Saccharomyces cerevisiae S288C: one gene and its partners. The protein of the gene in region 1 interacts with the protein of each later gene in a biochemical or structural test. Each region holds a gene or a part of one and is shown on either strand. Other genes may lie near its edges.

What was found.
Region 2: of the proteins of HMT1 (region 1) and PRP43, one has a biochemical effect on the other in vitro, tested with the Saccharomyces cerevisiae proteins (one study listed by BioGRID).
Region 3: of the proteins of HMT1 (region 1) and NSR1, one has a biochemical effect on the other in vitro, tested with the Saccharomyces cerevisiae proteins (2 studies listed by BioGRID).
Region 4: of the proteins of HMT1 (region 1) and SBP1, one has a biochemical effect on the other in vitro, tested with the Saccharomyces cerevisiae proteins (3 studies listed by BioGRID, with this or other methods).

The regions. Positions count from the first base shown.
Region 1 is NC_001134.8:302,960-311,052, reverse strand, and holds HMT1 (protein-arginine omega-N methyltransferase HMT1), read left to right. Parts: upstream 1-5,076; coding exon 5,077-6,123; downstream 6,124-8,093. Other genes in the region: Cu-binding protein SCO1, read left to right, coding at 1-488; CSG2 (mannosylinositol phosphorylceramide synthase regulatory subunit), read left to right, coding at 740-1,972; pyridoxamine-phosphate oxidase PDX3, read left to right, coding at 4,098-4,784; EDS1 (Eds1p), read right to left, coding at 6,350-8,093. UniProt on the Saccharomyces cerevisiae protein: S-adenosyl-L-methionine-dependent protein-arginine N-methyltransferase that catalyzes both the mono- and asymmetric (type I) dimethylation of the guanidino nitrogens of arginine residues in a variety of RNA-binding proteins such as heterogeneous nuclear ribonucleoproteins (hnRNPs) and small nuclear ribonucleoproteins (snRNPs).
Region 2 is NC_001139.9:279,498-288,615, reverse strand, and holds PRP43 (DEAH-box ATP-dependent RNA helicase PRP43), read left to right. Parts: upstream 1-4,678; coding exon 4,679-6,982; downstream 6,983-9,118. Other genes in the region: ARO5 (Aro5p), read right to left, coding at 1-104; YGL118C (uncharacterized protein), read left to right, coding at 165-602; protein kinase COQ8, read right to left, coding at 2,669-4,174; GPG1 (Gpg1p), read left to right, coding at 7,459-7,839; mRNA-binding protein NAB2, read left to right, coding at 8,093-9,118. UniProt on the Saccharomyces cerevisiae protein: Pre-mRNA processing factor involved in disassembly of spliceosomes after the release of mature mRNA.
Region 3 is NC_001139.9:805,790-813,614, reverse strand, and holds NSR1 (Nsr1p), read left to right. Parts: upstream 1-5,958; coding exon 5,959-7,203; downstream 7,204-7,825. Other genes in the region: YGR161W-A (gag protein), read right to left, coding at 561-1,877; YGR161W-C (uncharacterized protein), read right to left, coding at 3,110-3,388; RTS3 (Rts3p), read left to right, coding at 4,195-4,986; exosome non-catalytic core subunit MTR3, read left to right, coding at 7,594-7,825. UniProt on the Saccharomyces cerevisiae protein: Involved in pre-rRNA processing. Specifically binds nuclear localization sequences. Candidate for a receptor at the nucleus that may be involved in both RNA and protein transport. Binds telomeric sequences of the type (TG[1-3])n in vitro.
Region 4 is NC_001140.6:28,456-36,220, reverse strand, and holds SBP1 (Sbp1p), read left to right. Parts: upstream 1-2,143; coding exon 2,144-3,028; downstream 3,029-7,765. Other genes in the region: 60S ribosomal protein eL8 RPL8A, read left to right, coding at 196-966; putative ATP-binding cassette multidrug transporter VMR1, read left to right, coding at 3,465-7,765. UniProt on the Saccharomyces cerevisiae protein: Functions in the transition of mRNAs from translation to an mRNP complex destined for decapping. High-copy-number suppressor of decapping defects. Overexpression suppresses decapping defects in both DCP1-2 and DCP2-7 mutations.

The DNA of each region.
Region 1 (8,093 bases):
TTCTCGGTAAGTTTTCTATAATATACTTTGGGTTTAGTAACTGTCCTGACATCTGTCCTGATGAACTGGATAAGCTAGGTCTATGGCTTAATACACTCTCTTCAAAGTATGGTATTACTCTGCAGCCATTATTTATAACTTGTGATCCAGCAAGAGACTCCCCTGCTGTATTGAAAGAGTATTTGAGCGACTTTCATCCCTCCATCCTGGGTTTGACGGGGACGTTCGATGAGGTGAAGAACGCATGCAAGAAGTACAGAGTATACTTTTCTACGCCTCCAAACGTCAAACCGGGCCAAGATTATTTGGTAGACCATTCCATCTTCTTTTATCTCATGGACCCTGAAGGACAGTTTGTTGATGCTTTGGGTAGAAATTATGATGAAAAAACGGGCGTGGACAAGATCGTGGAACACGTTAAGAGTTATGTGCCTGCAGAGCAGCGCGCCAAGCAGAAGGAGGCATGGTACTCCTTCTTATTCAAATAAGATTGTAAATATATGCTACTTTCTTCCTTGTATATACATATATACTTATAACGCTATAACCCGTTCTTGTAATATCGGCTATCACCCGGCGAAGGTGTATCGCAAGAAAAAAAAAAGCTCTCTCACTCTAAAGGAGGCTATGTGAACGTGGGAAGATCAAGTGAAAGAAATGTTTGTAGGCCATTTTCTTCCAGAACAGATCCGCTCTTGAGCTGGTGAGTTAGCACGATAACAAACAAAGATACAGCGTCATGTCTACCACACTACTTTGGTTTTCAAGTGTAATAGGCTACGTGATTCAAACAAAATGTTTGTCTAACATACAATCTAAAAAGGAAATCTCCGTGGGGCCCAATGGTACAATTGCAACGCCTGAAACTAACGGCGACAACGGAAACTCAAGTTCATTAACCTTCTATCTGACCTTTATGTATTTTGCTTCGTGGCTGCTCTTGGTGCCTGCATCTCGACTTTGGGAGAAGATGAGACCGATGTTTGTCTCTGACTCAGACTCGAACAGGAATTCTCAGTTTGACAACAACAACAGCGGGTCTGTGACAAACGAAGATGTCGATACGTTCTCGCACGTGTTGGATGATCCTCAACCACGGATTCCAGCCCAACAGCAGAAGCAAAAAATCATATCCGTGGCTACCTTCAAATATGTGGCTAAGCTAACAGTGCTGGCTCTCATAATGATTGTCGCTGATTTGACTTATAACATGGCTTTGTCATTGTCACCGGCATTTGATGTTGCTTTGATGCAAAATACTGCCATTTTCGAAATTGTCACTTTACTATATGGTGTTTGTGGAATCTCCAGGAAGAACTACGTTTTCCGTAATTTCCTCATCATGATGAACGCGGTCATTGGAATTTTGATCATCTCATACACGAAGGCTACCTGTGACATGCTTGCCGGAAAGCTGTCCGTCAACCCTAACACGGGTGAACTTTCTGACCCATTCTTGTTTGATAGGTTGAAAGGTGCTCTGATTTGCGGCCTTGGTGCTTTGATTATGGGTCCTTTTGCCGTGTTATGGAACCGTTGGTTTTGCAGTAACATTTCCAAGAACGAAAATTCTGCTGTAGTCTTGGTTAAGCAGAGCACCCACATGGCCCTAATCGGTATTATTGGCATGGTAATACTTTTGCCATTTATTCCTAAATTTCCCTCCCGTGAGTCTGTGGAATCCATTTCGTTGTTCTATAATGACAAGAGCTTTTGGTTCTCTCTACTAGGCTCGATTATCTTTGGTTCCTTGCCGAGCTTGATTTCGATATTAGAGTTGAATCGCAAGGCCCCTGCTGAGTATTTGACGACGTGCAACCTGGGAGCTATTATCTTTATGGGGTTAGCTGAGTGGGTTTGCGAACCTACGCAAACCACAATTGTGAGATGGGAAGTCATAGGATACATAATGCTAACGGTAAGTTTGTTGGTCCTATCAGTAACACTCGGGGAAGGTAAATACCACCATTAGTACGGACAACATACTTTATATGACTGATGATGATGTAACAAGCATATGCAATTATTTGGTTTCCCTAAATAAAAAATCCCAATCAATATCTTGATTATTTTCAAGACAATTACTAGGATGTTCTTCTATTTTTTTATTTTTATTTGTATATTGTATATTCTAAAAAGAAGAAGCCATTTGGTGGGCTTTATTATAAATATTAAGAGGCATACCTCCGCCTATCCGCCTATCCTCGTCATGAACAATCAATTAAAAGCGCTTATAAAGCGATATACAAGTACAGTACGCGCGATTTCTACAATACAAAAAATATACATCAAGAAAAAAAATGTTTCCAAAAATTATCTAAATGCATCGAAGGCATTAGGAGAAGTAGCTGTGAATACAACACCAAGATTCATAAAATGAACACACGGTTCCTTCCGCTTGGAAAATAATGCGACAAAAATACCGTATTGATCATCAAAGTAGTTTTAATAGATACCTAAAAAAACCATCTTGAAAAATCTCAAATTACGTTCTTGATCTTGTGTCATTGTTCAGTTACTGATCGCCCGCAAACCTAACCGATGCTTAAGAAAGGACACCCTTGCCTTTTGGCTTATTTACCTACTCGTATTTTTCTCTGTCACATCGTTCGATGTACGGGGCACATTTGGAAATTTCATCAGTAAGTTCAGTGAATAGATTTTTTATTTTACCTTTTTGTAGTGGGATTTATTCTTTTAAAGGCAAAAATCTACTGAAAAAACGGAAAAAACTAGAATAAACCATTTCTATATATACTCATGTTCCCTGACGTTCTTTTTCCTTTTTCTTTTTCCAGAGTTAACGATAAGATAGACATAAAGTGACAGCGCTTAGCACCGTCTGTTTGCAAATCTAACTTAAACTCCTTTTTTTCTGTCACCTTAAACAGTGTCAGAAAAAATACTAGGTATAAGAAAACGAGAAAAAAATAAACAGCGAACTCGTGCAAACTTTGCTAATAAACAATTAGCTGTAACATTTGTGTGTGGGTGTGGTGATGGTAGGCTTCCCATGGTAATTAAAAGGTTAGGTCGAGAAGAGGATCGGTACGAAGAAGGAATAACAGGAATAAGTTCAAAAACACTGCTTTAGCAACTAAATGCAATAGCAGTGTTTAAGAATTTACGGTTTGCATTTTCTAAACTCAGATTTTAGCCATCTATAAGTAGAAACACAATAAAAAACCACAAATTGCGCACACACAAGCATCTACACTGACACCAGCATACTCGAAATTCTTTGGAAAAGAAAAGAGCAGCAGGCTATCAACTGAAAGATCAATCCGAAATCCGACACTATCTCTTCACCATCGAGTGCCTACCAAATTTCTGAGGCCTGCATGATGGAAAACTCAAACGTAGAATGTACAAAAAACACGGACTGAAAAAAAAAAAAATACGATTAAGCAAACGCAACAGCCATTGACATTTTCATAGGGTACCTATCTTCCTCTCTAGTTTTATTCTCAAACCAGAAAAATCACACTAAAAGCTACAAAGAAGGTCTTTTAATTGAGAACCTTGAGATCTATATGTCACCATTGCTAAAGAGGAAGTTTTTTCGCGAGTTCGCGCGCTGAAAACTTTTCTCCCATTTCCTTTTTTTTTTATTTTTTTGGCGTTTAGATATAAAAGCTTTAGCAGGATTGCTCTTCCTTTTCACCACACATATAGTGATATAAAATTTATTTATAAACTAACACAAGTAAATATACAACACCCAGTATTTTTGGCTGCCCGTGTCTTTCTCTACCACGGGTAGTCTCTCTAAGCTGGCAGATAGATGTTTATTGAACCGCTTAAGTTCCGTTGTGAAGTTTTCGTCTTTCAGGCTGTATTTCATAACACTACTGTAGTTCACACATACACATGCGTAATGCCCCAATCTTGATAAACAGCACATACAAGTAACAGCAAGTCTGCTTAGCAGCCAGATAGAGCTCTTATAGATGCCACCAGAACCAGCGCCGGGTAAATTGTAAATACTAGAAGGGGCCGCAACTTATAAGAAAGAAGAAATGACTAATTTGCATGATTAGATATTTTAAAGATACTCTACCTAGACCAGTAGTACACTTCACGGATCTGCACTGAAAATGACTAAACAAGCTGAGGAGACCCAAAAGCCAATCATATTTGCTCCTGAGACGTATCAATATGATAAATTTACTTTGAATGAAAAACAACTTACTGACGACCCAATCGATCTTTTCACCAAATGGTTCAACGAAGCCAAGGAAGACCCAAGGGAAACGTTGCCAGAAGCAATTACTTTTTCATCCGCGGAACTACCTAGTGGGAGGGTGTCGTCCAGGATTCTTCTTTTTAAGGAGCTCGACCATAGAGGTTTTACTATTTATTCTAACTGGGGAACCTCTAGAAAGGCTCATGATATTGCTACCAACCCGAATGCGGCAATCGTATTCTTTTGGAAGGATCTGCAAAGGCAGGTGAGAGTTGAAGGTATCACAGAGCATGTTAACAGAGAAACTTCTGAAAGATACTTTAAGACGAGACCTCGTGGATCCAAGATCGGTGCATGGGCTTCCCGCCAATCGGATGTTATCAAGAACAGAGAAGAACTAGACGAGTTGACCCAAAAAAACACCGAACGTTTCAAGGATGCTGAAGACATCCCATGTCCAGATTATTGGGGTGGCTTGAGAATCGTTCCACTGGAAATTGAGTTCTGGCAAGGTAGACCCTCGAGATTGCATGATAGATTCGTTTACAGAAGAAAAACAGAAAACGATCCATGGAAAGTCGTTAGACTAGCCCCATGAGGGACTGTTAATGAAAAATTCAATGTAGGATCTATTTAACACCATATAATTCTCTCATTTTCTATTTTATACTGTATAATGAATCTTTTTATACCGCCTATAGGGTAATATGTCAGAATATACCGAGATGAAAAAAAAGAAAAAGGAATTCCGAAATTTGGAAATGGCGGGAAAATTTTTTCACAAAGGGAAATTATATGTTATAAAAATAGTTGAAGAGATGAGCTGCCTACTGCTCACCTTGCCGTTTCCAAAAAAGAGTTAGAACCGACAAATTCATCCAAAGAAAATAATGAGCAAGACAGCCGTGAAAGATTCTGCTACAGAAAAAACCAAGCTAAGTGAAAGCGAACAGCACTACTTCAATTCGTACGATCACTATGGTATTCACGAAGAGATGCTTCAAGATACTGTTCGTACCTTATCTTACAGAAACGCAATTATCCAAAATAAGGATCTTTTTAAGGACAAGATTGTTTTAGACGTCGGTTGCGGTACCGGTATTTTATCCATGTTTGCCGCTAAACACGGTGCGAAGCATGTTATCGGTGTTGATATGTCAAGCATTATTGAGATGGCGAAGGAATTGGTAGAGTTGAACGGATTCAGCGACAAGATCACCTTGCTAAGAGGCAAGTTGGAGGACGTTCATTTACCCTTTCCTAAAGTTGACATCATAATTTCTGAATGGATGGGTTACTTTCTACTATACGAGTCCATGATGGACACCGTTCTTTACGCTAGAGACCACTATTTGGTAGAAGGCGGTCTGATCTTTCCCGACAAGTGCTCCATTCATTTGGCCGGTTTGGAAGACTCTCAGTATAAAGACGAGAAGTTGAACTACTGGCAAGACGTTTACGGGTTTGATTATTCGCCATTTGTTCCGTTGGTCTTACACGAGCCCATCGTCGACACCGTGGAAAGAAACAATGTCAACACCACCTCAGACAAATTGATCGAATTTGATTTAAATACAGTAAAAATATCAGATCTAGCGTTTAAGAGTAACTTTAAATTGACGGCCAAGAGACAAGATATGATTAATGGTATAGTCACCTGGTTCGACATTGTTTTCCCTGCACCAAAGGGTAAGAGACCTGTTGAGTTCTCCACTGGTCCTCATGCTCCATACACTCACTGGAAGCAAACAATATTTTATTTCCCTGATGATCTAGATGCTGAAACTGGTGACACCATTGAAGGTGAATTGGTTTGCTCTCCAAACGAGAAGAATAACAGAGATCTAAATATCAAAATTTCTTACAAGTTCGAATCGAATGGCATCGACGGTAATTCAAGAAGCAGAAAAAACGAAGGTTCTTATTTAATGCATTAAGACTTTTGTTTGCTGGAGAAAGAAAAAAATTTGAAAAGCAAATAAACAAACTTGTTCATATTATTGACGCGAATATGTGTACTTTGTTACCCTTTTTTGTTGGTCGTGTACCAAAATTAGTTTAGATATATGACTTTGCATGTCCTTGTACTATAGTTTTTAAAAGAAAAAATCTACTTATCTATCCTTCATTAGGATGCTATTTTTCACCTTGTTATCATGAATATTAGTTAAAGAAGCAACAGCAACAACCCAATTCTGAATCATCCATCAATTTCCAACCTATGTCGGCAAACTTTTTCAATATCTTTTTGTTTTCTTCCTCCGATGGCGCAACGTTTGAGGCGTTACTAGCTGCACATTTTCCGGAATACATGCTCTTCATTACCGATTCGTAGCATCCGGTACTACTTGTAGCACTTACATAGTAACGCTTAGCACGGTCATGTGCATTCTTCCTAAAAGGTTCTAGGGTATTAAATAGTGCGGTTATTTGCACCAATTCGTTCAGCGCAGTTGACAACGTCATAATTCTGTCATTTATTCCCTTGGCCATATTTCCATTACGGATGTATAAACTTATTAATGTGGTAGGTATGGGTCCTATCAAACTAATGATATTATAGCATTCTTCCACCATTGGCAGCATGAAAATAGAAACAGTTCCCATCAAGTCTTTGGTTGTGCAACGTGTATTTTCTTCACTGGCAAGATTTGACGTAATACTTTGTGTTGGCGACATTAATTCTTCTTCACTGTCCTGAGCAAAATAGGCGTTCGGAAGGGGCTTTGAATCCAAATCAACAGAGTTTTCTGCGTTCATATTAGTAATTGAATCTAATATGCCTGATACCAGAGTGATCATTGAGCAGACTAGCTCTCCGATATTTTTCATTTCAGCATCCGAATTGCAGCAATTTTCTAGAATATGGTCATTTTTCTGTTCAATATTTAGTAATTTTCTGATTAAAATTTCCTTTTTCTTCAAAAGGGTCTCAAATTTGCCAGCTATATTATCATGTTCCCCTTTTTCAACAGCGAACTCTCCGTAATCCGTTTGATTTGTGAACAGCAAGTGGTGAGGTACATTTACTTGCAATGATTTTCTGTTAAGGACAAAATATGTTATAAATTCACCAAGTTTAAGGTTTCGTAGAATGTTATCCAAAGCTACGGGAGCTTTTTCGACGACTTGGTTATGACCTGTTTTATCGCTAAAATATGTTTCAATGGCGCTACCAAAATTTAGATTAATTAATTTTGGTTGACCTAGCCGAAAGCTTTGTAGCGTATCCAGAATGTTTAAAAGGATGTACAACCTTTTGAACAACACAGCATAATCCAGTATCTCGTCACCACTTTCCTCGTTTGAATTTAATAATAGCATTGGGGACGTATTTTGAAAAGGTAGAAATAACTTATGAGCTTGAAATTCGTTAAAAACCCCAACAGAGGGGCCTAGCAAAAGCGAGCTTTCCTCACCGGCCAATATTAAGATAAAATTTAACACTATTATTGTCGAAAAGTAAATGAACTTTATTCTTGAAGGAATAACACTGGAATTTTGTTTTAATACGGGTTTTATAGTTATTAAACTTTGGAAGCAGTCGGCTATACATTTGTTGAAATTCTGAATGTAATACAGACCTTTTTGAAAATCGCATAAACTGTCACGAGACCATGATTTTGTTGATTTCGATGACCTTCTTTGTTTTATTTTGCAAAATACCAATACCTCTAGCGCGGTTTTAAAACACTGGATAATTTCATTGTTAATTTGTCTGATCTCATCAATCACGTTTGGCTTTTCAGGATCAAGCATGTCAGTAAATTTACTTTTGTTAATTGGTATTACAGGAAAATTAATATGGAAAAAGTTATAGTAGATGCCTAAAACCTTGTAGAACGAGGTTGCATCAAACTGTCTGTAGGTTCCAAGCATAAGTGGTTTAGCACTGGCTTCCTGATTC
Region 2 (9,118 bases), on another chromosome or scaffold:
TCCACGAATTCTAAAAGGCACTTGCATACGAGATCTTTTAAGGCATTAACAATGTAAACTTTCCCTTGATCGCTTTCCACATCTTTTATTGAAATTGGCTGCATTGTAAGATATTGTTACAGATCTTCTTATTTCAGCAACGCCAATACTATTAATCTGTGTTTATGCCACCTGAGCCAGTCTGGCACATATCTGCAGTAACAGAAAAGTTTCCTACTCATGGCGCTATTTTATATATATCACTTACCTTTTCTTTTTATAAAAAAATGTTACGTGTATTATGGCATATATTGTTGGTGTACGGAAAACACGCGGGGAAGAGAAAGTATAGAAAAGTGATGACAGAAACAAATGACTCATTATATATGAAAAGAAATAACTGCAGCGGTGAATATGCCACACTGGCATTATCAACAAGGAGCTGTTCATTTAATATGCAACAGAATGATTGGGTAACTATGGAAGGACTATTTCCTTTTGTGATGGTTTTGTGTCATTTGGAAACGAAGCCAATGAAAATAGGTATCCAGCTTATACTACAAGTCCCTTTCATGGGTTTAGGAATTCACAAAGAGAATAAAGAATTCTACTTGATATTATGAAATTTTTTACATTTGTTCTATCAGTTAGTAAAATAAATTTTATTGCGCTGTCATTTCTTGCGTTGCGGTTTCTACGACGTTCGAAGACAGTTAGAATCTTGTGCGAAAATGTTTCGAACTATGCCATCTTTTAAACCCGATACATATTCCAGCGAAATGGCTACTATCATCCTTTATACTAGCAGAAAATAAAACTGAAATAACGGGTTTATCACAGTTTACATGAGTTGCCATTAGAAACGAAACGGGCGTGAAACCGTAAATTGATGTAGATATTTACATTCGTTTGCACCTCTGGCGAATTTAAGGAAACACAAACGATCTTTCAGGTAATAATGCAAGGTAGAGTGAAAAATCTACTAATTGGACCTTGACTTGGCATCTATATGTATAAAAATATTAGTAGTTATACACAACTTCTAGTATATTACCTGGCCTGTTCTTGGTGATACTATATTCTAGTTACTAATTATCAAAACTGACGATAACTAGGAGCCGTTTTAAAGATACAGCTTTCGGGGAGACAAGTAAGAATTTAATTCTTGGATATTTCAAGATGAAGCGGTGGCTCAATGGTAGAGCTTTCGACTCCAATTAAATCTTGGAAATTCCACGGAATAAGATTGCAATCGAAGGGTTGCAGGTTCAATTCCTGTCCGTTTCATTTTTTATACTGCAAGTGATAATTTAAGGATGGTTAAATGAAGGAAACGGTGTACTAAATGTGCAGGGGCGTCTCTGCTGTCGCGTTTACCGATTGCTTTTTATTGTACCTTTTCTATTCTTTTTTTTTTCGGTTCAATTCTTGTAAGTCCACTGACGGACAAGAAATGTTGACAGCGGTAATAATGTCTTGATATTGCTAAGCGGACCTATGTTATTATGTTCAGCAGCATTTATGTAGAACTTTAGCTGATCTAATGATCGCTAATGTTATTCTTGTATGAAATGCCTAGACAATTAGTATAAAATTTGTGTGAGGTTACGTATGCTAATTGCAATGCAAAGCGATATTATCATATTTTATGTTAATTATTCTAATCTCATACGTATATTCTATCCTATCTCGTAATGGTTACTAGCCAAATTCGCCCGTATGAATATGTTCTTTTTATATCAGTTCATATTCCTTTTGATTTAAATGATACTTCTTTTTTTGCAGCCTGAATAGGTGCAACAGTTGCCATCCATTACATTAGTGTTTTGATGAGCACGAAACAATGTCATAGGCTTATCTGCCCCCTAGGCACAACGTTAATTTAACATTTATGACTGAATGGAAACCTGAGGAAGCTATATCGATTGGATAACGGGATCATTATATCCTGAGATAAATGCACTAATGTCGAAGTTCAAAATTTTCTGTAAGAAACTGCTGTAGTTAACAAACTAAACTATATTTCTGACCCGAAGGTATTGTCTTAAAGCTGGCGTGTTTCATAAAGTAAATATTGGTAAAGAAGTTGCCTGCATACAGAGTATTTTCAAAGATACATATTCAATTTAGAACAAGAAATGCAGATTATATTCATCTCTCATGAATGATGTACAATTGTATTGTAACAAGGCTGGGACTTTACAGAGAAAAATAATTCTATAATTAGGAAGCGACCCAATTCAAAGACTAAAAAGTAATTTGAAATGGGGTAAAATGGAATAGAGAGGTTCTGTGGAATGTCATATTATGTAATGTTGTAAAGTTAATGGTGTATATTTTGAGAAGCTATTGGCAGAAGGATTAGCGTTGCTAAGAAAATGTTGGATCACTATCGCAGAGGGTTTAAAGAGAATGATTGGAAAAAAATATCTAATTCACTGAAGCAGAATGGGAACTACTATTTAAAAACATGACGTATATACTAGTAATCTTTCAGTCGATCTGGTTGGAAGTACTATAGCAGAACGAGGTACAAAAGAGTGCACATTTATCTTTCTGTTTTATCTTTTTTTTTTGTTCTTCGAGATTGTCTAACAAAACAAAATAAAAGTATACGGACTAAAAGTAAATAAAAAAATATCTTTCATAATATAAAGATATGCATATATACAAATAGCGGGGAAGTATTTTAAACTTTATAGGCAAAAATCTCTTTAAAAAGCTTTGCACAATGAACAGACGCACCCATTCTTGCACACAAAAGAAAAATGCCACTAAATTTTCTATGTAACGAGTATGTTTCCTCTGGTGGCGGACATAGTCTTTCATTCAACATTAACCCGATATTACCTCTAATCCTGTCTGAGACTGTTTGATCCTTGAAATCGAAAGATTTATCTACATCACCCCTAAAAGGTTCACCAAGTGTAAGTACACTATCGACGTGCGCGTCTTTCATGGACTGCGATTCTAAGCCTGTGAGATAGCCCAGTTGTACAGACATTTCGTACGCCCCTTTCCTATCTCTCAATGTGGCGTAAGTTAAAAGTTTTCTATATTTTAGAATAAAATCTTCTGCAAAAGGTCTGGAGGCACCGAAATCCAATAATTCAATTTTCTTTGTCCTACCGTTATAGAGGAAATTTGCCCAATTAGGATCCGTTTGCATATACTTGAAAGTGGCAATTTCTTCCAGACATAGTCTCATGATATTCTCCGAAATAAAATTTTTGGTTTCTTGTGATGCCTTGGGCAATTTCATTATTTCAGTTCCCTCCATACGTGTCATAGTTATAATATTATCGGTTGTATATTCAGGAAACACATGAGGAACCTCAAACGCTGGGTCATCCTTTAGCAACGCCTCAAACTTTTGTAGAGCTCTAGCCTCTCTGTTGTAATCACATTCCCATTTTAACTCAGTTCTAGCGTTGGCAATTGTCTTATCCAAAAATAATCCCTTCGGTAATAAACTTGAGGCTGTAAGTAACATTAGTAAACTATTCAAATCCGAATCAATGGATTCTTTAACCCCAGGATATTGAATTTTGACAACCACTCTTTGACCACTGGGCAACTCTGCCGCATGTACCTGTCCGATACTAGCAGCTGCCATAGGTATCTTGTCAAATTTGGAAAACTTTGTCTTCCAATTAGCACCTAATTCCTTGGCCATAACCTTTTCCAATTGCCTTTGAGGCATATGATTTGCACTATTCTGTACCCTTGATAAAATTTCGTATAATTCCTTTGGCAACACTTTCTCATCCTGAAAAGACAATAGTTGCCCTATTTTAAGGGCAACACCTCTCATTTTAGAAAATTTATTGGTAATTCTGTCAATATTCGAATCTGATAGAATCAAAGATTTCCAAGTGGGAGAATTGCCCTTTGCAACTTCCGATATGCCTTTTGCTGCGGCATTCATGCCCACCCCTGCTGCCAGTGAGCCATAATGGAACAATCTCGATATTCGTGAAGTTGGTACACTGGAACTTTTTAATGTATCCTTTTTTTCCTCCTCATGCTTCCTTTCTACGTTTTCTTCACCTTCTTTGGCAGATTTTGTAGTATATTTCTTACTCAACGATATTGAAGAAACAGAAGAAATTCTCCCGTTCTGTATAGTTCTTAAGAGACGGGATGAACAATACAATCTCCTTAAATTCCTCAATTTCACCATATTTGTAACCATATCGAACGATATCTTAGCCGAACAGGTCCCAATAAGGATGCCAAGGAAGCGTACTGAGTACAGTACCAGAAAGATCTTAACTAATTAAGATCATCTAAAAAAGTACTGGGTACTATTACAGATCTAAAGCTTTACAAATGAATATTACCCGGATCATAGTTTGCTGACTGATAGTATATAGTTATGGACAAATTTCATCATTTTCCAAACTAAGGTCGTTTAGTTTTACGCTCTGTATTCGTTTGCTGTTTCAACTGACAGTATCATTTCGGAGTCCCATAAATCTACCAGATTGCTTTTTATTGATCTAGCGATCTTATACACAAGTCCTTTTTTATTTCTTTTTCTTTTTTTTCGGTGCCTCTGAAAAATTTTCAAATGCGAGATGAGGTGAAAAGAAACTTATTCAATTGTAATATTTAACACGTTTACGGGGATGCGATTGAGTAACGATAGTATAACCTTATAAACGCGCATAGAAAGATTAGGACTGCAAGAATAATAATGGGTTCCAAAAGAAGATTCTCGTCCGAACACCCGGATCCAGTTGAGACCTCTATTCCTGAGCAGGCCGCCGAGATTGCGGAAGAATTATCCAAACAGCATCCTCTTCCATCCGAAGAGCCACTTGTCCATCATGATGCTGGTGAATTCAAGGGCTTGCAACGTCACCATACTTCAGCAGAAGAGGCCCAAAAACTTGAAGATGGAAAAATAAATCCATTTACCGGTAGGGAGTTTACACCAAAATATGTTGATATCCTGAAAATTAGAAGAGAATTGCCAGTACATGCCCAGAGAGATGAGTTTTTAAAACTTTATCAAAATAACCAGATTATGGTTTTTGTTGGTGAAACAGGTTCCGGTAAAACGACACAAATTCCTCAATTCGTTTTATTCGATGAGATGCCACACTTAGAGAACACTCAAGTTGCATGTACTCAACCTCGTCGTGTCGCAGCAATGTCTGTTGCACAGAGAGTTGCTGAGGAAATGGATGTCAAGTTGGGCGAAGAAGTTGGTTATTCTATCAGATTCGAAAATAAAACTTCTAATAAAACGATATTGAAGTATATGACTGATGGTATGTTGTTGAGAGAGGCAATGGAAGACCATGACTTGTCGCGTTATTCATGTATCATTCTGGATGAAGCGCACGAACGTACACTAGCTACTGATATTTTGATGGGTCTTTTGAAGCAAGTAGTCAAGAGGAGACCTGATTTGAAGATAATTATTATGTCTGCTACTCTGGATGCAGAGAAGTTCCAACGCTACTTCAACGATGCTCCATTACTTGCCGTTCCGGGCAGAACATATCCAGTTGAGCTATACTATACACCGGAATTTCAAAGGGACTATTTAGATTCTGCCATTCGTACTGTTTTGCAAATTCATGCCACTGAAGAGGCTGGCGATATTTTGTTATTTTTAACTGGTGAAGATGAAATTGAAGACGCTGTCAGAAAGATTTCCTTAGAAGGTGATCAATTGGTTAGAGAAGAGGGATGCGGACCTTTATCCGTATACCCACTGTATGGTTCATTACCACCGCATCAACAACAAAGAATATTCGAGCCTGCTCCAGAGTCACATAATGGTAGACCAGGCAGGAAAGTTGTTATCTCCACGAACATCGCTGAAACTTCTTTAACAATTGATGGTATTGTCTACGTCGTTGACCCAGGATTTTCAAAGCAAAAAGTTTACAATCCAAGAATTAGAGTTGAGTCTTTACTTGTTTCCCCTATCTCCAAGGCTTCTGCCCAACAAAGAGCTGGTCGTGCTGGTCGTACAAGGCCTGGTAAATGTTTCAGATTATACACTGAAGAGGCATTCCAAAAGGAACTGATAGAGCAAAGTTACCCAGAAATTTTACGTTCCAATTTATCCTCCACCGTTCTAGAACTAAAAAAATTAGGTATTGATGACTTGGTCCATTTCGATTTTATGGATCCACCGGCTCCGGAAACAATGATGAGAGCCCTTGAAGAACTAAATTATTTGGCATGTCTGGACGACGAAGGTAACTTAACACCCCTAGGTAGATTGGCATCCCAGTTTCCCTTGGATCCTATGCTAGCGGTGATGTTAATTGGGTCCTTTGAGTTCCAATGTTCTCAAGAAATACTAACTATAGTGGCCATGCTATCGGTTCCAAACGTGTTTATTCGCCCAACAAAGGACAAGAAGCGAGCAGATGATGCCAAGAATATCTTTGCTCATCCAGACGGTGATCATATCACCTTACTAAATGTATATCATGCGTTCAAATCGGATGAAGCTTATGAATATGGTATCCATAAGTGGTGCCGTGACCACTATCTAAATTACAGGTCCCTTTCCGCTGCTGATAATATCCGCTCCCAATTAGAAAGATTAATGAACCGTTACAACCTAGAATTAAACACTACAGACTATGAAAGCCCTAAATACTTTGACAACATCAGAAAGGCTCTTGCGTCTGGGTTTTTCATGCAAGTAGCAAAAAAAAGATCGGGAGCTAAAGGATACATCACAGTTAAAGATAACCAAGATGTTCTGATCCATCCTAGTACGGTTCTTGGCCACGACGCAGAATGGGTCATTTACAATGAATTTGTGCTCACATCGAAGAACTACATAAGAACTGTGACCTCGGTCAGGCCCGAATGGCTGATTGAAATAGCGCCTGCATACTACGACTTAAGCAATTTCCAAAAAGGTGATGTCAAATTATCTTTGGAAAGGATCAAGGAAAAAGTTGATAGATTAAACGAGTTGAAACAAGGTAAAAACAAAAAGAAGAGTAAGCACTCCAAGAAATAGACATTTTGTGTCGAAAAAAAAAAAAAAATAGATTTATATAAATTTATAGGACTATTTCATAGAGAGAAAATTCAACTAGAAATAGGTACACGTAACCTAAAGCTGCTTGTACTAAAATCATAGCGCCCTGTATCAAAAAGAAGCTTTTTTCTTTTGTTGGGTATGTCTATATAGAGCACATCCTATATTCCCTTCGAGGTGTTTTTACAAGAACAAATAAAGAAACAAACCGCGGTGTGAGGAAGTTCCCTTAAAAATGGCAAAGATTACCGTAAAGGTAAATTACTCCTTTAACGATGCTTAAAACGAGCATCTTACTCTTGCAACGAAATTAATCACTCAATTTCAACGAGGATGTTGGCTTCCCATCAAAGTAGTTTTGGGGTAAACCGCATATATCTGTATATTAAGAAAACTTATTTTCCACTATCTAATTTGAACTACAGAGAAGATAAGAAATCTTTTAAGTAGCAATCATGTTTTATCTAAGTGACATCGAGGAAGAAGCCTCGGCTGGGGCTGAACCAACTTATAATTTCTGGGAAGTTTTGTTATTCTCCAATACTCAAGAAAACCTCGTCACCGTTGTCGGAGAGTTGCACACACTTACCGATCGTGTGGTTCATTACAAAATTGAGCCTGAATCAAGGGAAGTTACTGCCACAACACTGCCATCTTTGTTAGCACTTTTGCTAGAAAAAAGGAACCAGGCGAGACGTTTATATAGGGATGTGCTTTCAATGAAAATGTCAGAACTGGACTGGGACATCGACGATTTGTTCACACAGTTACAAGAAGAGCTAACAAGAACTGATGACACTCTTTCTATGTATCCTAGGAGAAGGTTCTATCACTAGCTTGCTCAACGCGACCTTATACACAGAGTTTAATGTGAAGAGAACATTCATATACAATTATATAAACATTGTTGTATTCTCGTACATCGTTACACAAAATACGAAGCGGGGAAATAGTGATATTCGCTTCGCTGGTGGCAAATGGGAAAAATACAAAATTTTACACATCTTTCTTCCAAATACTTCCATAAAACATCTAAATATAGTGGTTTCTAATTATCTCTGATCATAAGGAAGTGGAAGTACATCAGAAATGTCTCAAGAACAGTACACAGAAAACTTGAAGGTTATCGTTGCCGAAAAACTGGCTGGTATACCAAACTTTAACGAAGATATCAAGTATGTTGCGGAGTATATTGTCTTATTGATCGTTAACGGTGGTACTGTTGAATCTGTCGTAGACGAGCTGGCTAGTTTGTTTGATAGTGTTTCGAGAGATACGCTTGCAAATGTTGTTCAAACAGCCTTTTTCGCATTAGAAGCTCTGCAACAGGGAGAAAGTGCTGAAAATATTGTTTCCAAAATTAGAATGATGAATGCGCAAAGCTTGGGACAATCGGATATCGCACAACAGCAACAACAGCAACAACAACAACAGCAACCAGACATCGCGCAACAGCAACCTCAACAGCAACCTCAACAGCAACCTCAACAGCAACCTCAACAGCAACCTCAACAGCAACCTCAACAGCAACCTCAACAGCAACCTCAACAGCAACCTCAACTTCAACCACTTCAGCCACAACTAGGGACCCAGAATGCAATGCAGACAGATGCTCCTGCAACTCCATCCCCCATATCAGCCTTTTCCGGCGTTGTTAACGCTGCAGCTCCCCCTCAGTTTGCGCCTGTAGATAACAGCCAAAGGTTCACTCAACGTGGCGGAGGCGCCGTTGGAAAGAATCGTAGAGGTGGTCGCGGTGGGAACCGTGGAGGACGCAACAATAATTCCACACGTTTTAATCCGTTAGCAAAAGCACTTGGAATGGCGGGTGAGAGTAATATGAACTTCACTCCAACCAAGAAAGAGGGGCGTTGCAGATTGTTTCCTCACTGTCCTCTTGGTAGATCATGCCCACATGCACACCCAACTAAGGTATGTAATGAATATCCAAATTGTCCAAAGCCTCCCGGAACTTGTGAGTTTTTACATCCAAATGAAGATGAAGAGTTGATGAAGGAAATGGAAAGAACTCGTGAAGAATTTCAAAAAAGAAAAGCTGATTTATTGGCGGCAAAAAGGAAACCGGTACAAACTGGTATCGTTCTGTGTAAATTT
Region 3 (7,825 bases), on another chromosome or scaffold:
ACCATTCAATATCCGATTCCTTCAAATATGTAACTGCATTCTTCTTAAGAGACTTCTGAATACTTCGGAAGTTAGCATGTCCAAGCATTCGATGTATTAACGGATATGGATATTTATTTACGCTTTTGCTTTTGTTGACGTTGTTTATTGTTAGCTTTGAAATGTGCGAAGGAATTAGGTATTTTTTAGATAACCAGTAAAAGTCTCCATGTTTGACTATGGGAGCTAGTACTGTACCATCCGATCTTTCTAAAGTGTTTCTGGTAAAGCAGGCAGTAATATTTTGATTAGCCAGCTCACTCAAACTTAATAGATCATAGGCTATGTTTGGTGTGTGTAGTGCTTTTATTGATGTTTTGGTGCCGTTCTGAAAGTTGAAGTGAAGATTACCAATGGCATTTATAGGAATGTCTTGTTTTTGAGCATCGACTATGTTTATTTCAGAATTGGGTGTTGCATGGTGTAAATAATGGGCTGATCTGACAAGCGTTTGCGAAGCTCCTGAATCAATAAGAAGGTGATCAGGTAGTTCGTCATTCGAGTCTATTGTGTGTGTTGGCTTAGATTCTTTCTGTTGCTGGCCTAAGACTAAGTTCGTTGTCATCGCTTAAGTATTGTGATGAAACGGTTGATTCATTAATGTGATCATTGTTCACCCTTGAGAATTTACTAGATGTAGCAATATTGTGAGCTTTTGCTGCTCTTGGTTTTGAACTATTTGTTCTATGATAATTACGAGTTGTAACCTTTGTGTTAGTCGTGTTTGGAGATGTGCGAGAAACATTTTTGTATTCGCTGTGTTGTTTGTATTGGGACGGTTTATTTAGATTCATGATTTTATTTTCGTCATATATTAACTGAATTTCAGCGAATAATTGGGAAAGTTTCATGTTCGTTTTGGTACGATATTGATTACGTAGGTATTTGAAGTCACCGGATAGACCTTTAAGTATTAGTTGACAGGCCAATCTGTCGCTAACATTGATATTGTTTTCTTTTAGCCTCTGAATGATCGTACTGACTGTAATTTCAAATGTATCAGCAGATGTACTTCCGTCGTACTCAAGGTTGGCAAGAGCTATCCAATCCTTTAATTCTTGATTGTTAGTTTGCATTTTGGACACACTTTTACAAAGGACTGTAAGGATGTCAGCATAATTAATTTCTAAAATTTGTTTTACCCATGTTGGCAATAAATGAAATGGGGCAAATGCTTGGAAGGTATTGTATATATACGCATGTTCTTCATAAGTCATTTGACTTTTGATTTCACCCTGGTCATTTGGAATGATGTCACCGAGATTAGAGTTCTTCAAAAATCTGATGTAAAATTTAACCCATGTAGAAAAGTTTTCTTCTGATGTTAAAGTGTGTGGTGGTAAGACGTTATTTCTCACCTTTGTCTCAGCTTGAGGTACTTCAGAGTGTTGATTCTGTGAATCGATTGGATCAGGTGAGGAAGTACTCAGTGGTGGGATATACTGTGGCAACGGATAGTGTGGGTCCGGTTGATAATACGCAGGTGACGTTTGATAATGTGAACACGTCATCATAGACGGTTGTTGGTAATGTGCCCAGTTAGAGGCCATAGCTTTGTTTGGGGTCATCATGCCGTGCTGTTGGTACTGTCCATTCTGTGGAGGTGGTACTGAAGCAGGTTGAGGAGAGACATGATGATGGTTCTCTGGAACAGCTGATGTCCCAGGTGTTGTCTCTTGTTGAGAATTAACCTTAGTGGAATCTCTATCAAATTCCGGTAAATTGGAAGCTGAAACGGCTAACGGATCTTGATTTGATGGGACTTCCTTAGAAGTAACCGAAGCATAGGCGCTACCATGTAGAGAATGTGGATTTTGATGTAATTGTTGGGATTCCATTTTTGATAAGGCAATAATATTAGGTATGTAGATATACTAGAAGTTCTCCTCGAGGATTTAGGAATCCATAAAAGGGAATCTGCAATTCTACACAATTCTATAAATATTATTATCATCATTTTATATGTTAATATTCATTGATCCTATTACATTATCAATCCTTGCGTTTCAGCTTCCACTAATTTAGATGACTATTTCTCATCATTTGCGTCATCTTCTAACACCGTATATGATAATATACTAGTAACGTAAATACTAGTTAGTAGATGATAGTTGATTTTTATTCCAACAATATATATAAATTGCTGTAATCTAGAAAACTACAATGTGAATGCTAGTTACGTGGAAACAGAAGAATTAGTTTGAGTTTATATCTGGATTTCCTTTGATATATGGATAAGTAAGCTCGCTACGTGACATAAATATTTGAATAAGAATCAGAATTAGTGGGGCGATAAAGCAATTTCCGATCACCTCTCATGCGAATATACACTTTGCACACGTACTACCGCAAGCATTGTTATTTTTAAGGCACCTTTGACATGGCCAACGAGCGTTCATCTTTTATACCCCTTTCATAACTATATGAAGGTGTACGATTATTTTGAATGACTACTACAATTTAGCCGCTAATTATCAACATGAATCAAGCGGCTTATAATGCACTAAAATAATGTATCGTTGTACGATAGGTACATTATCGTTTCTACCATTGCAGAAATACGCGGCTCATATTTTACAAATCTTGGATTTTCGTGGTGAGGGGACCTGAGGGTTGTAGAAAATGTGACGTAGCGGAGATTCAAAAGAACGAAAACAAAATAGTAGATACCCCGCTCTGTGAGTTTCTTCAAGGGTTCGACAAATGAATTTAGATACCGTTCAAATTTTTGATTTTCTTGGCGTTCTAAGAATGTCCTATCACAGCCTTGCCACTATCTGACTGACGGAGAAGAACATTGAGATATGATGTTACATTTTTTTATATTCATGAATATTAGTGCGTATTTACAGTGAAAAGCAATCGTCCAGAAATGCATAAACGAAGAATCGATATATAAAACACATTGTATTATAAACTAAGTAACACGTCATCTTCTGCACCTCCCATTGCGACTTCTTTGAGTTCAATCTGTAAGCTAATCGTATGCCGTTTTTCAAACGTGTTTGAGTAGAAAAGTAGCCACCATATGTGCACGGTGAGCACAAAACGTATAGCTCGCATCAGGCGTTCACCAGCCTTGAATTCGGCTCTGTCTCAAGGAAGGATTAGTACTCGGACACGCCGTCGCCGTCTCTTGCAATAAGTCCATGTTCTTGCTCTGGAATAAGGTGAACTCTTTAAGTATTTTCTCTTCTAGGCTCAGTTCTCCGAGTTGTAGGGCAAAATCAACCATGCCACTACTGCCATGATCGCTGCTTGTGCCAGTAGCATCACCTATGAAGCCCTGATCGGCTTGAATATTTGCGAAATGTGCATTCGAAGAAAGATGGTTGAAGTATCCAGACATAATGCTGTATAATGTTGACTATAATCGGTTGTTTTAGCTCTGTGGTATACTACAGATGTGCTAAAATATGCCGAAATCACCACAATATACAATAAATACGATATCATCATGGACGCATGCACGACATATTACAAGGCGGGGGAAAGAAGAAACGGAGCGCCAGAGCCACAACGAGGAAGCGGGTTTGTGGCTCTCACATCACAGCCCGCCCCTACCAAGATCGTAAGCAACGTGTTCAACACGTACCAAAAAACCATAATGGCAAGCCAGCGTTTACCTCACCCGCGGATGACACATCCTGCTCTTACATATGATCGCGGGCTGTCCACAAAAAACAACCTGGAAATACCAAATTTGGCAGCTACCGCGGAGTAGTGGTCATGACGGAGAGAGTTGCCAAAAAGTGACTGACTCGACTCCCCTCACAGCCCGGATCAATTTTTCCATGCGTTTCCACGGAAATCCGAGGTTTGCCGTTAGAGTCCCAAATTGGCGATGGATGATGAGATAATGCGCCCTTATCAATCACGCTAAAAATTGCCCCACGCTGTACTCAACGATCATAGCTGGCTATTGTTATCGTTGGCTTAGATGGTTTCGCCCGTACAAAAATAGACTTGCATATATATAAAGCTTATCTTCGGCCTCAGTCGTCTAAAAAACTATCTTGCCTAACATTATCTTGTCTTCTTTTCGTTCCCTTGAATCATATATAAGAAAAGATAATCAATCATTCGGCTATTTTCTTACAGATACATACATACGTATAATTCATCAATCATAGCATTAATAGAAGATAAAGTATAATGATCGCTACCTCCAGAGCCGTAAACATGAATAAAGAATCAAAACACAAGAAGGCTGTTGCCAAACCATGCAGAGAGAGACAAACTTCAGTTACAAGAGCCATGAGACCAGCTGTAGCACGTGATCCTCGCAGACTTTCGACGTCGTCGTCTCCTTCTTCGTCACCAATGTCAGCACAGAGAAGGCTTTCGAGGGAAGAAATAATAAACGAAATGGAAAAGGAGCAAGACGCTATTGTAGTAAGACTTCTACGGGAAATTGAAACTTTAAAAGAAGAAAACTCTAGGTTAAAAAATCAACTGCACCATCCGGTCCCGGCTAGAAGGTCGTCTCCATTTTTCGAAGGCGAGTCTGCCATCCTAGATGATGATGACTGCAATTATGGTTACACCCTCGACACTCCAAAGCTAAAGCTCACAGATGGTGCATCCAGACACACCGTACTTCCCTTAACACCCAAGGACTCCATGACCCACATTTCCCATTCCGCCAGAAGGTCAAGCCGGAACGCTTCCATATCTAACGGAACAAGCATCTCAGACACGATTTTCCCCATTGAGACTAAAATCCACTCAGCACCAACAACAAACAGAAACCTTCCCTCCGCCGATCTTCCACATCACACTCTTCTTCCACGTTCTCTAAGCGGCATTTCGTCTAGCGATTTAACCGAATCCGGTGCTCTTCTTCATGACAGGAGAAGGCGTTCTTCCAATTACAGTCTCGATGGCTCAAACTCTTTAAAGGCTGATCTCATGGCAAAGAGATTCCAAACTGGTTCATTGAAATAGGCTGTAAGCGAGATACATAAGAAAACAGAGTTTCTCTAAATATATTCTTCCTATTGATCTTTGGCAATCCAACACATATGCAGTTCGTGCACTTGCGTTATAAGCGTGACTTCTCGCTTGGTTTTTTTTTATAATTTTTTTTTAAAACCTCATTCTAAGTACAACTTTGGCGTTTTTCCAAGCTACTACTTATAATTATATGGTTTATTTCATAAATATATATATATATATATATATATATAGAAAATCAATATACATTTAAGCCTTACTGGAGATGACACTATTTTTGTTCACATTTTTTCTTATGCTCTAAATACCTCGGCCTCATACGCAGAGACAGTGTTGATATGTTTTTATACAAAGTAAAGGCAAAGAGAAGGCACAGACAGGATTTCACAGGCAGCTAAGTAATAACGAATATGCTTGCTTCACATATTTTGCCGCCAAATTACACGCTATGGAGCTACGTTCTACTAGTGGTTACTTACCGCTAGCTATTTAAACCCCATCACGTTGATTGTCTATTTCGCTATAGGTTATTTTGCCAAGAAAACTTACTGGGCAATACTTACATCCATTCAGATTTTTGGATAAAGCAATTGAAGAAAGACGACAGCAATTCGACTGGTGGTTGTTAATTACCCTTTGATCCTCTGATTTAAAGACGTAATCCTTCCTGGGGGTAAGTGCCTGATGTATGGGTCCCCATGCCCTTTTTTTTCGTTTCTTTTTTCACTCCATTTCTTTTTTTTTTTTTTTTTTTGGTGAAAAATTTGCAAGGGCAGCTCATCGCAAGAACGAAAATTTTCAATCCAATATTAAAAGTACTTAAGTGTAGCTGTTGCTGTCTGCACTTCCCAATCCATTGGTACCTTAAGTTATTTCCTTTCGTAGTATTTTTCTTACTTTTGCTTCCCAAAGACGAACTGTTAACCAATTTCGGATCACTCAACCCAGGCAGGATAAAATAAGATGGCTAAGACTACTAAAGTAAAAGGTAACAAGAAGGAAGTTAAGGCTTCCAAACAAGCCAAAGAAGAAAAAGCTAAGGCCGTCTCTTCCTCTTCCTCCGAATCTTCATCCTCATCTTCATCTTCATCTGAATCTGAATCTGAGTCTGAGTCTGAATCTGAATCTTCATCTTCATCTTCATCCTCTGATTCTGAATCCTCTTCTTCATCGTCTTCTGACAGCGAAAGTGAAGCTGAAACCAAGAAGGAAGAATCCAAGGATTCCTCTTCCTCTTCCTCTGACTCTTCTTCCGACGAAGAAGAAGAAGAAGAAAAAGAAGAAACCAAGAAGGAAGAATCAAAAGAATCTTCTAGCTCTGATTCATCCTCATCTTCATCTTCTGATAGCGAAAGCGAAAAGGAAGAGTCTAACGATAAGAAACGTAAATCTGAGGACGCCGAAGAAGAAGAAGACGAAGAGTCTTCCAACAAGAAGCAAAAAAATGAAGAAACCGAAGAACCAGCTACTATTTTCGTTGGTAGACTATCGTGGTCTATTGATGACGAATGGTTGAAGAAGGAATTCGAACACATCGGTGGTGTCATTGGTGCCAGAGTTATTTATGAAAGAGGTACCGATAGATCTCGTGGTTATGGTTACGTTGATTTTGAAAACAAATCTTATGCTGAAAAGGCCATTCAAGAAATGCAAGGTAAGGAAATTGATGGTAGACCAATCAACTGTGATATGTCCACAAGCAAGCCAGCTGGTAACAACGATCGTGCCAAGAAATTCGGTGATACCCCATCTGAACCATCTGACACTTTGTTCTTGGGTAACTTATCTTTCAATGCTGACAGAGACGCTATTTTCGAATTATTCGCTAAACACGGTGAAGTTGTTTCCGTCCGTATCCCAACACATCCAGAAACTGAACAACCAAAAGGTTTCGGTTATGTTCAATTCTCCAACATGGAGGACGCCAAGAAGGCTCTAGACGCTTTACAAGGTGAATACATTGACAACAGACCAGTTAGATTAGACTTCTCTTCTCCAAGACCAAACAACGATGGTGGTCGTGGCGGTAGCCGTGGTTTTGGTGGTCGTGGCGGTGGTCGTGGCGGTAACCGTGGATTCGGTGGTCGTGGTGGCGCTCGCGGTGGCCGTGGCGGTTTCAGACCATCTGGTTCTGGTGCTAATACTGCTCCATTGGGCAGATCAAGAAATACCGCTTCTTTCGCTGGTTCAAAGAAAACATTTGATTAATGAGAAAATGAAATGAATTTCAATTTCAATTTTTTCTCTTTTTACGTTAATTACTATATTCCATTTTTGAGGAAAAATTTGGTCTATAATATTTTGTGTACATTAGTAAGTAAATAGGATACATTCTTAAACCTTTCATTCACCATCTCTATTTGCCAACTTTTCTTCGAATGGCTTACTCTTTTTTTTTTCACGATGAGATGAGATCGCTAGATACGGAAGATTACAAGGCCTTGGAAAATACTCAAAAAATTTCAGTAATATGAAATGAATATCTAAATAAAAGCTTGGGCGTTGTGCTTGATTGAGCCACGAAAACTTCCTTTAAGGATTAGCACATACTCCACTTAAAAGTAGGAACATACTCACATTAAGGTGTTATCAGAATAAATGAATGTTCAAGACAGAAGGAGGTTATTAGGCCCTGCTGCTGCCAAGCCAATGGCGTTTAGCAACACTACTACTCATGTGCCAGAAAAGAAATCAACAGATTTGACACCTAAAGGCAATGAAAGTGAACAGGAACTTTCTCTACATACCGGTTTCATCGAAAACTGCAATGGATCTGCATTAGTAGAAGCTAGAAGCTTAGGACACCAAACATCGCTCATTACCGCTGTCT
Region 4 (7,765 bases), on another chromosome or scaffold:
CATTTTTTTCTCATTTTCTTATTTATTTTTATTGAAAAATAATAACCGACGCAAACAAATTGGAAAAACCAACGCAAAAAAAAAAAGACGCTAAATTGTTTATAAAGGCGAGGAATTTGTATCTATCAATTACTATTCCAGTTGTCAGTTTACATTGCTTACCCTCTATTATCACATCAAAACAACTAATTCGAAATGGCCCCAGGTAAGAAAGTCGCTCCAGCTCCATTCGGTGCTAAGTCAACTAAGTCTAACAAGACTAGAAACCCATTGACTCACTCTACTCCAAAGAACTTCGGTATTGGTCAAGCTGTCCAACCAAAGAGAAACTTGTCCAGATACGTCAAATGGCCAGAATACGTCAGAGTGCAAAGACAAAAGAAGATCTTGTCCATCAGATTGAAGGTTCCTCCAACCATTGCTCAATTCCAATACACTTTGGACAGAAACACCGCTGCCGAAACCTTCAAGTTGTTCAACAAGTACAGACCAGAAACTGCTGCTGAAAAGAAGGAAAGATTGACCAAAGAAGCTGCCGCTGTTGCTGAAGGTAAGTCCAAGCAAGATGCTTCTCCAAAGCCATACGCTGTCAAGTACGGTTTGAACCACGTTGTTGCCTTGATCGAAAACAAGAAGGCTAAGTTGGTTTTGATTGCTAACGATGTCGACCCAATTGAATTGGTTGTCTTTTTGCCAGCTTTGTGTAAGAAGATGGGTGTTCCATACGCCATTGTCAAGGGTAAGGCTAGATTGGGTACCTTGGTTAACCAAAAGACCTCTGCCGTTGCCGCTTTGACTGAAGTCAGAGCCGAAGACGAAGCTGCTTTGGCTAAGTTGGTTTCTACCATTGACGCTAACTTCGCTGACAAATACGATGAAGTCAAGAAGCACTGGGGTGGTGGTATCCTTGGTAACAAGGCTCAAGCCAAGATGGACAAGAGAGCTAAGAACTCCGACTCCGCTTAAATTGAAAATGAGAAATTTTGCATAAAAAATTTATTTTTTAATAATAATATTAATTTTCAAACGTTTTAATATAATAATGACCTTAAATAACCTTTTAAGGTGATTGCTTTGTTGAAGCTTTGATACTTGGACCATGGGAAGTACCTCATTATAGGAAAATCATATCGACTTATTTTGAATATCACAATAATTTTGCATGCCTTAGTAGTTTTGGATTACCTAAGCTATGTTGATCGCATCCAAGATTATTAGGTCAGAAGGTCATTAACATCCAAAAGCGATATGATTGTGCCATTGAAGTGAGTGAAAGCCGTGGTTTCGAGACAAAGTTACAGAAGTAGTCACCGTTGTAAATAAGTATTGCCATATCGGATTGATGCTGGGAAGAAGTTCAAATTCATATTCTCACTTGCGCTACCCGTGCAGCTGGCAATCTTGAAGCCAGCGTCCAGTTAGTCTGATATGGCGTGTTTAACGATGTTTGAAACTCCACGATCATTGGTCGAGTCAAGAATAAATGTAATGTCATTTGAAATGTCGTCAGTAGACGTCCGTTACAGTTATGAAAGACTTCGAGGCCGCACACTAAGAGTCACCATGCTACTTCTGCAGGTGGCCGCGCTGTACACTTGCATTTTGTATGGGGAACTTTATATTTAAAATTAAGGCTAAGGCAATGTAGGCACTATCTAGGGATCTCAAATACATAAATTTCTCTGCAATTAAGTTATTAGATCTACAATTTACCAATTTTATCATCGAGCGGAAAATATTGAAAAGTATATACAATTTCTCCTAAAAAGGCCCTGCTCGTTTTGACCTGTACTAGTAACTATTTTGCAGCCAATTATGGTAGTGAAAATATGATAGTACACTATTTTTTGGGTCACTACTGCCGCTAAATATTTTAAAATTTGTATGAATTGCCTCTTTATTATCTTTAAATTCCCGTCCCAGGTGACGCGTCGCCAAAGGGAAGGGGCAAAACTAGTCGAAAAGCAGAATAAAATTTTTCTAATTTAGCCACCCTGAGTGTCACAGGTTGTGGCATAAAGGATACGCAATTGGACTCAAAATAATCATTCTGCAAATTTAAAGGAAGTTACTGAGTTATCACTACATCGAGAGAAGAAGTTTCCCCCAAAAGAAAGAAGAAAACCCTCAAACGAAGAAAAATATGTCTGCTGAAATTGAAGAAGCTACTAATGCCGTAAACAACTTGAGCATCAACGACTCCGAACAGCAACCAAGGGCTCCTACTCATAAGACAGTAATTGACCCCGAGGACACAATCTTTATTGGTAATGTTGCTCACGAATGTACCGAAGACGACTTGAAGCAATTGTTTGTGGAGGAATTCGGGGATGAAGTCAGCGTAGAGATCCCAATTAAGGAACACACCGACGGTCACATTCCAGCTAGTAAACACGCTCTAGTCAAGTTCCCAACCAAGATTGATTTTGATAATATCAAGGAGAATTATGACACGAAAGTCGTTAAGGACAGAGAAATTCATATTAAGAGAGCTAGAACTCCAGGCCAAATGCAAAGAGGAGGTTTCAGAGGCAGAGGCGGTTTCAGAGGCAGAGGAGGTTTTAGAGGAGGTTTCAGAGGCGGCTACAGAGGAGGTTTCAGAGGCAGAGGGAACTTCAGAGGTAGAGGCGGCGCCAGAGGTGGTTTCAATGGACAAAAAAGGGAAAAGATTCCATTAGACCAAATGGAAAGATCAAAGGATACCTTATATATTAATAACGTCCCATTCAAAGCTACCAAAGAGGAGGTCGCTGAATTTTTCGGTACTGACGCCGACTCCATCTCTTTGCCAATGAGAAAAATGAGAGACCAACACACTGGTAGGATCTTCACATCCGATTCTGCTAATAGAGGTATGGCATTTGTCACTTTCAGTGGTGAAAACGTTGATATTGAAGCTAAAGCTGAAGAATTTAAAGGCAAGGTTTTCGGTGACAGGGAGTTAACTGTAGATGTTGCTGTTATTAGACCAGAAAATGATGAAGAAGAAATTGAGCAAGAAACTGGTTCTGAAGAAAAGCAAGAATAATTACTTCTTACCCACATCCCTATTTCTAACTTGAGTTTTTGCTAGAGTTTTGTATTTTTGTTCACCTTCCCTGCAAAAGAAATATGTGTATTTATATATGCGTGTATACCTATATATGATATGTAAAAATGAGACGCCCCTGTTTTATTTTCAAACACTTCCCCGTATAGTTTTTTGCAATGACACTACTTTAACTTCTTCGACATGATTTGCTTTAGCACTACGAAGGATTGCATCATAACGTTTCGAAAGGGGTGCACTTTTAAAAACCAGTAAGTGAGTGCCTCGTGAACTGCTATTTTCGTATTTTGAAAAAAAAAATAAAAAAAAACTCCCTTATATATATATATAAATATCTATGTACTAAATGTCAAATCGCTAGCTCTCACCTATATCTTATTCATGCTGCAACCTCAATGGTTCACTACCTCGGAGAATGGGAACGGATCCCCTTATTATCCGAAATAATGGTTCATTTTGGGAAGTTGATGATTTTACTCGTTTAGGAAGAACTCAGCTATTGAGCTACTATTTACCATTGGCTATCATAGCCTCAATTGGCATTTTCGCACTTTGTCGCAGTGGATTATCTCGTTATGTAAGATCTGCCGAGTGCGATTTAGTGAACGAATATCTATTTGGCGCACAAGAAGAGAGAAAAGAAGATAATAGTATAGAAAGACTTCTACGGAACTCAAATACCCAAGCCAATTACGTCAACGTCAAAAAGCAAGGAAGGATTTTGAAACTTAGACATTTTGATATAACAACTATAGATGTCAAGCAAATCGATGCTAAAAATCATGGTGGACTAACGTTTAGTAGACCGTCTACTAGTGACCACTTAAGAAAATCATCTGAAATTGTATTAATGTCTTTACAAATAATTGGCCTTTCCTTTTTAAGAGTAACAAAAATCAATATTGAATTAACGAACAGAGATGTTACAACTTTACTATTATTTTGGTTAATACTACTTTCCCTAAGTATCTTAAGAGTTTACAAGCGTTCAACGAATCTTTGGGCCATCTGTTTTACTGCCCATACAACTATTTGGATTTCAACCTGGATTCCAATTCGTTCGGTCTATATTGGTAATATCGATGATGTACCCTCACAGATATTTTACATCTTTGAATTCGTAATTACTTCAACCTTACAGCCAATAAAGCTCACTTCACCGATTAAAGACAACTCATCCATCATCTACGTTAGAGACGACCATACGTCTCCTTCGAGGGAACACATATCCTCAATTTTAAGTTGCATTACTTGGAGCTGGATTACCAATTTTATATGGGAGGCCCAAAAGAACACTATTAAGTTAAAGGATATTTGGGGCTTATCAATGGAAGACTATAGCATTTTCATTCTAAAAGGGTTTACCAGGAGAAACAAGCACATTAATAATTTGACGCTAGCACTGTTTGAATCTTTCAAAACATATTTACTCATAGGAATGTTATGGGTTCTGGTGAACAGTATTGTAAACCTTCTTCCCACAATTTTAATGAAAAGATTTTTAGAAATTGTGGATAACCCAAACCGTTCCTCATCATGCATGAATTTGGCGTGGCTTTATATTATTGGTATGTTCATTTGTAGATTGACATTAGCAATTTGTAATTCCCAAGGTCAATTTGTTTCTGATAAGATTTGTTTAAGAATAAGAGCCATACTCATAGGAGAAATTTATGCAAAAGGCTTACGTAGGAGGCTGTTTACATCTCCAAAAACCAGCTCTGATTCAGATAGTATCTCCGCAAACCTTGGTACCATAATTAATCTCATTTCTATTGACTCATTTAAGGTATCGGAACTAGCAAACTACCTTTATGTGACAGTTCAGGCAGTAATTATGATAATAGTTGTTGTAGGACTACTTTTCAACTTTTTAGGTGTTTCAGCTTTTGCAGGAATTTCAATTATCTTAGTGATGTTCCCATTGAATTTCTTGTTAGCGAATTTGTTAGGTAAGTTTCAAAAGCAAACACTGAAATGTACTGACCAAAGAATCTCAAAATTGAACGAGTGCTTACAGAACATAAGAATTGTCAAATATTTTGCTTGGGAAAGGAATATTATAAATGAAATCAAATCAATAAGGCAAAAGGAATTAAGATCCTTATTAAAAAAATCTTTGGTGTGGTCCGTAACTTCTTTTCTTTGGTTCGTGACACCGACCTTGGTGACAGGTGTCACTTTCGCCATCTGTACATTTGTTCAACATGAAGATTTGAATGCCCCGCTTGCTTTCACTACTTTGTCACTCTTCACTTTGTTAAAGACACCCCTGGATCAATTATCAAATATGCTAAGTTTCATAAATCAATCAAAAGTCTCTCTAAAAAGAATAAGCGATTTTTTAAGGATGGACGATACAGAAAAATATAATCAACTAACCATATCTCCAGACAAAAATAAAATTGAATTTAAAAATGCGACTTTAACCTGGAATGAAAATGACAGCGATATGAATGCATTCAAATTATGTGGTTTGAATATTAAATTTCAAATTGGTAAGTTAAATTTGATTTTGGGTTCTACAGGATCTGGTAAAAGTGCATTGCTGCTGGGTTTACTGGGTGAACTAAATCTAATTAGTGGCTCTATCATTGTTCCGAGCTTAGAACCAAAGCATGATTTAATTCCCGACTGCGAAGGTTTAACCAATTCCTTCGCATATTGTTCACAAAGTGCGTGGCTATTAAATGACACGGTAAAAAACAATATTATCTTTGATAACTTCTATAACGAGGATAGGTACAACAAAGTAATTGATGCATGTGGGCTGAAAAGAGACCTGGAGATTTTACCAGCAGGTGACCTAACAGAAATTGGTGAAAAGGGTATAACTTTATCAGGAGGGCAGAAACAGAGAATTTCCTTGGCGAGAGCTGTTTATTCGAGTGCTAAGCATGTCTTACTAGATGATTGTTTGAGCGCTGTCGATTCACATACTGCTGTATGGATCTATGAAAATTGCATCACAGGTCCACTAATGAAAAATAGAACCTGCATTTTAGTTACGCACAATGTTTCATTAACACTTAGAAATGCCCATTTCGCGATTGTGTTGGAAAATGGCAAAGTGAAGAATCAAGGAACTATTACAGAATTACAAAGCAAAGGGCTTTTTAAGGAAAAATATGTTCAACTTTCTTCTCGAGATAGCATTAATGAAAAGAACGCTAATAGATTAAAAGCTCCCAGAAAAAATGACTCTCAGAAAATCGAACCTGTCACCGAGAACATAAATTTTGATGCAAATTTTGTCAATGATGGCCAGCTAATAGAAGAGGAAGAAAAATCAAACGGTGCCATAAGCCCCGATGTTTATAAATGGTACCTGAAATTTTTTGGAGGCTTCAAAGCTTTAACAGCCCTGTTCGCTCTTTATATCACAGCTCAAATTTTGTTCATCAGTCAGTCTTGGTGGATACGACATTGGGTCAACGATACCAATGTACGAATAAATGCTCCAGGTTTTGCGATGGACACGCTGCCATTAAAAGGGATGACCGACTCTTCGAAAAATAAACATAATGCATTTTATTACTTAACCGTATATTTTCTTATTGGTATCATTCAGGCAATGCTAGGTGGTTTTAAAACAATGATGACGTTTTTATCCGGTATGCGAGCCTCCAGAAAGATCTTTAATAATCTGCTAGATCTAGTTCTACATGCCCAAATACGATTTTTCGACGTGACGCCGGTTGGTAGAATCATGAATCGCTTTTCAAAGGACATCGAAGGTGTTGATCAAGAATTGATTCCATACTTAGAAGTAACTATATTTTGCCTAATTCAATGCGCATCAATTATATTTCTCATTACCGTAATAACTCCTCGCTTTTTGACAGTCGCCGTTATCGTTTTTGTTTTATATTTCTTTGTGGGGAAATGGTACTTAACGGCAAGTAGAGAATTGAAAAGGTTAGATTCAATAACCAAATCACCCATTTTTCAACATTTCTCAGAGACCTTGGTAGGCGTTTGCACAATTCGTGCATTTGGCGACGAGAGGAGATTCATTTTAGAAAATATGAACAAAATTGACCAAAATAACAGAGCATTCTTTTATTTATCAGTTACTGTCAAATGGTTTTCTTTTAGAGTCGACATGATTGGCGCATTCATTGTTTTAGCATCAGGTTCTTTTATTCTGCTCAATATTGCAAATATTGACTCGGGTCTTGCCGGCATTTCTTTGACATATGCCATTTTGTTTACAGATGGTGCTTTATGGTTAGTTAGACTGTACTCAACATTTGAAATGAACATGAACTCTGTTGAAAGACTAAAAGAATATTCTAGCATTGAACAAGAGAACTATCTTGGCCATGATGAAGGCCGCATTCTACTTCTAAACGAACCATCGTGGCCAAAAGATGGAGAAATTGAAATTGAAAACTTATCTTTACGTTACGCGCCAAATTTGCCTCCTGTCATAAGAAATGTTAGTTTCAAAGTGGATCCTCAAAGTAAGATTGGGATTGTCGGAAGAACTGGCGCAGGCAAATCTACCATAATAACGGCATTATTCAGATTACTAGAACCAATAACCGGATGTATCAAAATAGATGGGCAGGATATAAGTAAAATTGATCTCGTTACATTACGTCGTTCCATTACTATCATCCCTCAGGACCCTATTCTATTTGCAGGTACAATCAAAAGTAATGTTGATCCATATGATGAATATGATGAAAAAAAAATATTCAAAGCACTTTC